Linked DNA regions of Oryzias latipes. The protein of the gene in region 1 purifies or fractionates together with the protein of each later gene. This does not show direct contact. Links are inferred from orthologs where the notes say so. Each region holds a gene or a part of one and is shown on either strand. Other genes may lie near its edges.

What was found.
Region 2: the proteins of visual system homeobox 1 (region 1) and usp12 purify together in Homo sapiens (affinity purification with mass spectrometry; 3 studies listed by BioGRID and IntAct, counting the BioPlex papers as one, with this or other methods). This does not show direct contact. The link is inferred for Oryzias latipes from reciprocal best matches to the Homo sapiens genes VSX1 and USP12.

What each region holds. Positions count from the first base shown.
Region 1 is NC_019873.2:12,757,878-12,762,281, reverse strand, and holds the start of visual system homeobox 1, read right to left. Parts: upstream 2,838-4,404; 5' UTR 2,788-2,837; coding exon 2,370-2,787; intron 2,153-2,369; coding exon 2,077-2,152; intron 1,434-2,076; coding exon 1,310-1,433; intron 671-1,309; coding exon 475-670; intron 261-474; coding exon 1-260. UniProt on the Homo sapiens protein: Binds to the 37-bp core of the locus control region (LCR) of the red/green visual pigment gene cluster. May regulate the activity of the LCR and the cone opsin genes at earlier stages of development. Dispensable in early retinal development.
Region 2 is NC_019878.2:17,502,152-17,506,642, reverse strand, and holds the start of usp12 (ubiquitin carboxyl-terminal hydrolase 12), read right to left. Parts: upstream 2,878-4,491; 5' UTR 2,790-2,877; coding exon 2,742-2,789; intron 443-2,741; coding exon 362-442; intron 181-361; coding exon 1-180. UniProt on the Homo sapiens protein: Deubiquitinating enzyme that plays various roles in the regulation of the immune response and inflammation.

The DNA.
Region 1 (4,404 bases):
TTGCTGTTGTGGTGATGAGGTGGCCCTTGTCGCTCCCCCCTCATTCTGCTGCTGCTGTTTGGAGGAGCTGGACAAGTCGATGGCCACCTCCTCTTCCTCCGTGTCTTCCTCCAGCAGCCTTTCGTCCTCCTCCGTGTCCCGGGCCTTGCCAGCAGTGCTGTGCCGCTCTGAGGCGTCGCAGAACGACTCAGATCGAGTGGAGTCTAAGGACGGGGGACTGGGACACTTCTTGGCCATTTCAAGAGACTTCTTGTGCATTCCTGTGGGGGTGGAGTCAGAACAGATTCAGTCCGGTCTGCCATACCTCTGAATATAATATGCTTGTTTGTTGGACACAGCTGTTATTTATTGCTCTATGCAGTCAAGATAACAAAGGCAGATGCAAGATCTGCAGTAAGTCCTCAGGTCAACTGAGTGCATGCTGCAGTGTGCGTGTGTATTGATGCCGGTGTGGTGCGTGTGCGTGGCACTGACGTGCATGCGGCTCACCGAGCAGCCAGGGGGCGCAGGATCCCATCATGCCGTTCTTGGCTGAGTTGAGGATGGACTCGGGGAGCGGGATGGAGTGTCGCACCATGGCGCCATACAGACCGTATTCTGCCATGACACTGCTGCGTCCCCAGCATTTCTCACGCTTTCGCCACTTTGCCCGCCGGTTTTGGAACCAGACCTAAAACACAAAGCAGAATCAGAACATCCACGCATTAATAAGTGGGGCTGGAACAACACCCCCCACACACAGATTCTGATTAACCCCAAATGCCCATGCAAAATGACACAGAGGGTGTCCCATAATGCACTGGGCTCCAGCATTCACTGGCATCTGTGTTTCTGACTGTATTTTAAACTATGTATGCAATATTCATGCTGTATGTGCAATATCCATTCTAATGTGGAATACCCACTCGTGCAATATTCACCCCACTCTACTGTACAGTATTTATGTATTTATGCCTTATATAGCTCCTTATTCCTATTTTATTTTATTCTACCTTTTTATATTGTTGGACGAGAGTTGCTGGAAAAAATTTCATTGTGCACTGCAGAATGATAATAAAAGATTCTGATTCTGATTCTGTGATTGTTGGATGGCTGATCTCCCTGCTTTTAGCTTTTGTCAGGAGAGAGGGATGTGCGTAGAACGATCATTAAACAAGCACACATCTGTGTTTCAGCTGGATTCCGATGAAACTAAAATCCCATTCAGTGCTATCCATAACAACCTAGAACCTTTGCTGGGTTCTCTGGATTCTGTTCTGGTTCAGTACTGTATACATGACCCAGCTCTGATCTCTGGTTAGGGCCTGACCTGGATTCGGTCCTCAGGCAGCTCGGTCTTCATGGCCAGCATCTCTCTAGCATACACATCTGGGTAGTGCGCCTCCTGAAAGGCCTTCTCCAGCTCCTCCAGTTGGTGGGAGGTGAAAACAGTCCTGTAGAAAGCAGAGTGAGGTTCAGTGGAGGAATTAGACCTAAAGAAGATCAAATGGACTAGACTAGAGTCATGCCTGACTTCCATTAAAAAAACAAATATTTTAATTTGTCATCTCTAATTTTCCCAAAAAAAATTATGAGGGGCAAAAAATGTACAACAATAATAGTTATTATTAAAAATAGTTACTATTATTATTGTTTTTTCCGCATTTTAAATTATTGTTACTAAAAGTGTTTTGTTTAAAATAAATGTCTTATATCTGTTTTATGCAGTAAAAAGTTTATTTGTAAAAAATAAATAAAAAAAGGTTAATGATGCAAAGCTTAATGATCCCTAAACAGGTCTACCAAATTTTAAAATTACCAATTCGTTTTCGATTTTGATCATTTGTTAATTAACTATTTCTAAAAGTAGCTTTTATGTAACTTTAAATAAAACGTAGTAAATAAGCGAAATTGTAGTTTTATTAGGTCGAAGACAAAACTTGTCGTTTATTATCTCTGTGAAAATTTTCAATATATTTTAATGAGGAAAAAAGAATAAACAATTTCCCAGATGTTTCTCTGTATCTGTTTTTTAGATATTACTTAATCGAAGGCATCTGGATCTCAAAATTGGAGAGGAGTCCCCTCCTTCCTCACCTGTGTCTCCTCTTCTTCCTCTTCTGCGAATTTCCGGAACTTTTGGATTCGTTTCGGTCCGACAGACACTCTTCATCTATGGGGCAGAACAGTCATCGTCATCATCGGTATCAGCTCATCTGTTCCAAAGCAGCATAAACGAAGAGAACCGAAAAAGGCCGAACCAGCCCGACCAACAGGGAGCGGTTCGGCCTCGATTTTCTTTTTATTATTAAAAATAAAATATTTGCTGTTTGTTTGGCAATAGTCCTCTTTTTAAGGGTAAATCACACATGAACCGGGCCGTTCCGTACCGGAGTATACGTCTCTCTGGGCCTCCAGGTTCTGCAGGTAGTGGCCGTCGGTGCGGGCCTGCAGCAGCGGCAGGTGTCCCGGCAGGAAGCAGGGCGCCCCCGCGGGCTGCTGCGCCGCCAGGCTGCACAGGAAGCCGAGGCCCAGTGGCAGGGAGCCTCCCGGGAACGAGAACCCACCGAGCCCGCCGCCTGAACCCTGCGGCTCCGGCCCGGGGCCCGCCGATGACAGACCCGAGCCCGGATGCCCGCCGGGCTGTTGCCGCGCCTGCAGGTCCGACTCCAGGCCCAGCAGGTCGGTGATGGCGAAGCCCTTGGAGCGGAACCCGGAGCCGTGAAGTCGAGACTTGTCGATGCCGAAACCCGGGGCCAGCATCTTCACCCGGGGCTTCTCGTCGCTGAGCTCCTCCCGACCCGTCATGTTCCTGAGGAGGCAAAGCGAACTCAGAGCGGGACCGGCCGGGCGGCGGGTCCATTTATGCGGCCAGACCCCGAGGGATCACAGCGGCAGCCAATCCCTGCGGGAGGAGGGGGGGGGGTGACCCTCTCCCGCCTTTCTCCTTCAATCCCAGAGGATTAATTGCCACCAATTTCCCTTCAATCCGATCTGGATTTTGGGTCGGGGGGGCTGTGATTTCTGCTGCTTATCTTTGATCTCCACCAATCATCATGGGTGTCACGGGCGCAGAAACAAACACAGGCACGCGCCTATTAGCAGAAAGGCTTAAATGATTTTTGGATGGGGGGGGGGGGGGCATGAAAGTGTGCGCGAGCGAGGCGTCAAGTTTGATTAAATAAAGGAGTCCATCAGATCACCAAGGACTCAAGCGGTTCAACGCGACAGGTTGGCTGATCCTGGCCTCACCACATCTAAATTATGGGATGGATTTTTCCATAACTGATATACGTGTTTTGATCCTTAGTTCCAGTTCAAAGATGATGAGGATGAGAAATGTCTTCCTCTTCAGACAAAAAAAAAACCCAGATTCTTTAAATTTGCTGTAATTATCTCTGATAAGCAGATTTCTGAAAACTAATTGCTTTTTTTTAACCAGTTGACCATTTTTTTTACCGGTTTACTCTCTCTGACACACGCGCACGAGCACAGAGTGCAGTCAATCTGCAGGGATTAAACCACAATTTGGCCCTAATTTGAGCGCGAACAGCTTCCTGTCCTCTGAGAAACAAGCAGCTGATTTCCATTTGGGAGGAGGGGGTGATGGAGGGTGGATGAAGATTTTCTCTTTTCGCTGTTTCGTTCTGTTCTTTTTGATGATCTCATTATTGGGTCTTCTTTTCACGATCACCTGTTTGTTCATTTTTTTTAAAGTGTTCTAAGAAGCAAATATGAATTTTTTTCCCTCTATTTTCCAGAGGGTCACTAAAATCGGCGACAGCACAAAATAGTTTGGCTTTTTCATTCGTTTTGTCAATGGAGAAAAATGAAATATTGACTCTACTCTATAATCAGAAAGCAGATAATTTGATACATCAAATGAAATATGTTGACATCTCCAGTTTAAAGCTTCAGAGTTAAGTGAAGAAGTTTTTGTTTTACTTTTTCTGGTCATTTTTTTTTTCTATTTTAGTGTCATTTTTAAGAATATTTTTGGCAAATCAATATTTTTATTGATTTTCAAATATAACAAATATAAAATATCTTTTTGCATTTTTTTCTTTTTCCTTTGCAGTGATTCGGGTTTTGCATTGTTGATGGTTAGCTGTGGTGGTGGAAGCATGCCAGTCACTCATCTGCTATTCATCACTTTTGTCTGTGGCTTTTACAAAATAAAAGAATGTTATTTTTTACTTTTGCTTCTTTATGTGTCTTTATTGATGTCAATACAATATTTTGAATAGCCTTTTATTAAAAATTATTCTTAAATGTTTCATTTTATTACATATGATTTTCACTTCATTACATATTATTGTCTGCTTTAGAAATATTTATCAATGATTTCATCAATAGTTGATATTTTTCAACAATTTTTTCCCATTTTTTCCCCCTTGTTGACCTTTTTAATACCTTTATAGTTGT
Region 2 (4,491 bases), on another chromosome or scaffold:
GGGTGGTATGACACCCACTTTCCTCTTCTGGTTGGCAATACTGTGGAACAGGTCAGCGAGGCAAGTGAGCAGGTTCTCCTTCCGTCGAGGCTGACTGCGGTAAGCCAGGATCTTCTCCCGGAACGGCCGGCAGAAGTAAAGGGCCTGCAGCACCGAGTTGCAGTAGCAGGTGTTCCCAAACTAAAAACACAAATAAATAATGTACAATAACCCAAAAATAATAACTGTCAAAAATCTCATGAATTAAAAACAAAAAAATGTGCTAATAAAAAAGCTGCTGAGAGCTGCTTAAGAGTATCATTTAAATTAGGTGAAACAGTTTTAAATAAATAAAGTTTTGCACTTCAAATCAGTCACTTACATTGACCAGACCAAAGTAGTGCTCGTTGACCGGAAACTGCTCAGATCCAATCTCTTTCTCCAGAGCAGAGGCATTGGCGCCCTAAAACACCACAACATACAAGCACCAAGAGTCACCTTACCTTTGTTAAAATAACACAAACACATTAGTAACACTTTTACATGCAACCATGATTTTAAAGGTCACATTTTGGTCAAAAGGTTAAAGTTTTGAGGCTCAAAAGGACAGATTTTAAAAATATTTTTGTCATTTCAAGAATACAATCACCATCATCATATATGTTTTTCAGCTCATGAGCCAGCATCTAATCTTGTTACAAAGAGTTATTTAATTAAAACTGATTTTCGACCCTGTTTGGGTGAATGTATCAGACCGAGCATTGAAAGTAAATAGATTTTGAACATTATTTTGAAGCTATTTAAGTGAAACTTAAAAACTAGTCACCATAACTTGTTAACATTTAATAAGCGATAAACTGAGATTAGGTTTTTTCTAGGGGGGTTGTTACCTCTAAAGCCCATGTCAACTTGGAAAAAACTATTAGGAATCCTTTTATTTAAAGGAATTGGTGCCAAGTTGCTTCCAAATCTATGTGCACCAATCAAATGCATCTGAACTATTTTTAAACTCAAATACTCAGTCTGCACAACAACTTGTTAAAAAATAAATAAATAGAGAGAGAGACTGAATAAGAAGATAATTTTTATGTTATCCAAAACAAAATGTAGGTAGCGGTCCACAGAGTAACAATTACAATTTCATCAAAGCTAAATTGTTTTTACTTAATAGATTTGTTTTCTTTCATTTTTTTAGACTATTAAAACATTCCTGCATAATATGGTCCCAGATGAGTGGAAGAGTGAGGGAGAGAGGGAAGGAAGGCAGGAAGGGGTGGAGGGAGGGATGAATGTTGGATTTCCACAAGTACTTATTCATAATCCATAAGTCAGTCCATCATTTTCATCGATAACAACTTCCATTCTTCTCAGTAGGTAAAATGGTGAGGTCTGATAACGATGTTGGATGAAAAAGTCCGTCTTAGAGTCTTCACTTTGGTTCATCCCAAAGGATGGTTAAGGAGAGGCCTCTGTGCAGACTAGTTCTTCCACACCAAAGACGAGGGTCTTTGTGGATCTTCCTTTGTGTACTGGTACACAGTCATATTGAAACAGCAACAAAAACATCCTAAACCTATCCCCCCAAAGACAGTTGACAGTATCGAAATGTATTCATAGTTTCTTTCACTACAACAAAGGATCCAAGCCCAGTTTCAGAAAAACAAACATAATCCTTCCTTCAACAAACTTCACATTTAGCACAGTGCAGTCAGACCAACATCAAACCCAAACACATCCATGTGATTGCTACATGGAAAACCTGAATTTCTTACTCCAAAGAACACATCTCAACTGCTTTACGGTCTGGTGATGTTATGCTTTTATACCAATGAATCAGATCTTAAGTGCAGAAATTTCCATGTCATGTGTCTCATGATCTGCTCACTCGAAGCCCACATAAACTGACGGACACTTTGTGGTTAAGCTGATGTCCCTCCAACTATGGTATGAAATCACTGACTTGTTGTAGGTGGGATCCTAATACAATCCCACCCTGGAATTCACTGAGCTCCAGAGTGCAGCCCATCATTTCACAGGTGTTTGTATAAACAGCCTCCATTCCTGAATTCTATTTATTTTTAGTACTTTTTGCAACAAAACGTGGCACCATTATATATATAATAAACAAGCTTTCAGTTAGTATAACGGTTATTTTCGAGGAGGATGCTGTCAACTTCTGAGGGAAAAAGCACTTCTAGAGATGTAATCCTAGTATCACCACTGTCGAGCAAACTGTCTGAAGAACAACTGCGCAGCTAATAATCTGTGTCGTCATTGCCAACACTAAAACTGTTATTTGATAGTAGTTGACGCTGCAGCATCACTACAATGTTCAACGCTTCCCTCAAAACACAGTCCGGACGTGTTTTTATCGGAAGTTTTCCTCAATCCAGTTGCTGGGAAGCTAAACATTGCTTTAGCTTCACATTAGCAAGCTAGCTTTGAACCCCTACAGCAGGTGCACAGTCACTACAACCAAATAGGGCGTGTAAATATGAAAATAATAATAATGGAGCATTAACTTTAAGTAAATAAATAACAAATATAAACATTCAAGGATTTGCGGCAAAAGCGAAGAGGCTCAGAAGGAGGAGGGTGGCTGCTCGGTTAGCATCAGAAACCTCCTCGGCTAGCACGGGAATCCGATTTTCACTGTTTTCATTTAAAATTCCGAGATTTAAATCTCAAATAACATAGTACTGTCAGTTTCTACATAGGCAAAAAGTCCTAATAATCACTATGTAAAACTGCCGTCCACTTACCATGGTACAAAAAGAGGCAAATTTGGAAACTGTCATTAGGATTTCCATTCGGCTAGCGCCATCTTCCACAACACCGCCGCGCGCTGACAAGACTGCTTAGAGAGGACGAAATACTGCTGAGCTCGCGGAGGACGGAGCTGGACGCGAGAGCACTCACCGCACACTACTTCCGGTTTCGCTTCTGCAGTCAGCCCTCTTTGATTAACTCAATGTACTTTCCGAAACTGCCATCTGTGTGAATGATTAATAGATTTATCAGAAAATATTTAAATTGATTATGTGAACAACATAATATCGTATATTTATTTTATAATGGCAGTTATACGAGTTGAAGAAATTAGATTGGTAAATCTAATTACTCTTAATCACAAATACCACCATTAGCTTGTACGTACAGAACATGACACATTGAAACTATACAATATTGAATTTGTCAAATTATTTAAATTAATTGCCTAGATGTGATCCTATATAATTCCCCTCCAGTTATATTTTACCTAGCTTTTTTTTCTTTACCTAAATTATCTTCATACTGTTCTTAATTTCTGATCCCTGTTGAAGTGCAGGTCATTGAAAAAAATCAAAAATTATTAAAGAATCAAATGACAAAGACGAAATACATATTAATTACGTAAGTAGACATGCCATTATTACAGAAATCAGTATAATATGTCCAAATCAAGTGCCAAAAATAAGTGAATATTGTTAGTCATTAGAAAATTACTGTCACCACAAGAGGGCACAATTCAGGTCTTTTGTGTCACTGTCCCAAGTGCGGGTAAATTCAGAAGGTTGTGTCAAGAGTGGCATTCGATGTAAACTAAATCGAACAAATCATGAACCAAACTTTGACTCCAGATAATTTTTGGTCTGGGTTAACACTGACCGCCACCAATGCTACTGGTGCCAGTGGAGATTAGACTTCTGTACAAGGAAGAAGCCATGTTAGTTGGCAACAAAACCAAAAGAAAGAGATGTGTTGGACTTGGAGTGTGGAACTTTGAATGTAGGGATTTTGACAGTGACAACTACACAGTTGAATGACATGTTGGAAAAAAGAAAGGTGGATATCCTGCATATTCAAGAGAATAGATGGAAACGAGAAAGGGTAATAAATTAGGAGCAGGTTCCAGCTGTTTTATCACAATGTGGTTGGAAAGAGGAATGTAGTAGGAGTGATCCTGAAGGGGGAGTTCATCAAAAATATTCAAGGGGAGAAAAGAGTCTGATAGGAGTGTAACATTGGGTAACAGGTGACAGCTAAAGTGATCTGGGAGATTGAGAGGAAGGTATTTGTGTTGTATGGAATGAGGAAAAGAGATAAGGAGACTTGGTGGTGGAAGGAAGAAGTTCAGGAATGTGTTAAGAGGAAAAGGTTTTCAAAGAAAAAGTAAAATGCTTAGAGGACAAAAGAGAGCAGACGGCAGTACAGTGAGATGCATCACATGGTGAAGGTGGAGAGGGCAAAGATTAAACAAAGGGCAAATAAGGACCTGCATGACAGGTTGGACATAAGGAGGGAGTTTGTATCAGTTAAGGCAGACAACAGAGAAGGATGTGCAGCATGGTAGGTTGATCAAGAACAGCAATGGAAATGTGTTGACAGGTTCCAAAAGTGCAAAGGAAAAGATGGAAGGAGAACTTTGAAGAGCTGATAAATGAGGAAAATGTTAGAGAGCCCGGTGGAAGTGACACTGAGGTAAGAAAATGATTGAAGAGAAAGAATAGTGGAAAGACGTCCAGGTGTCCA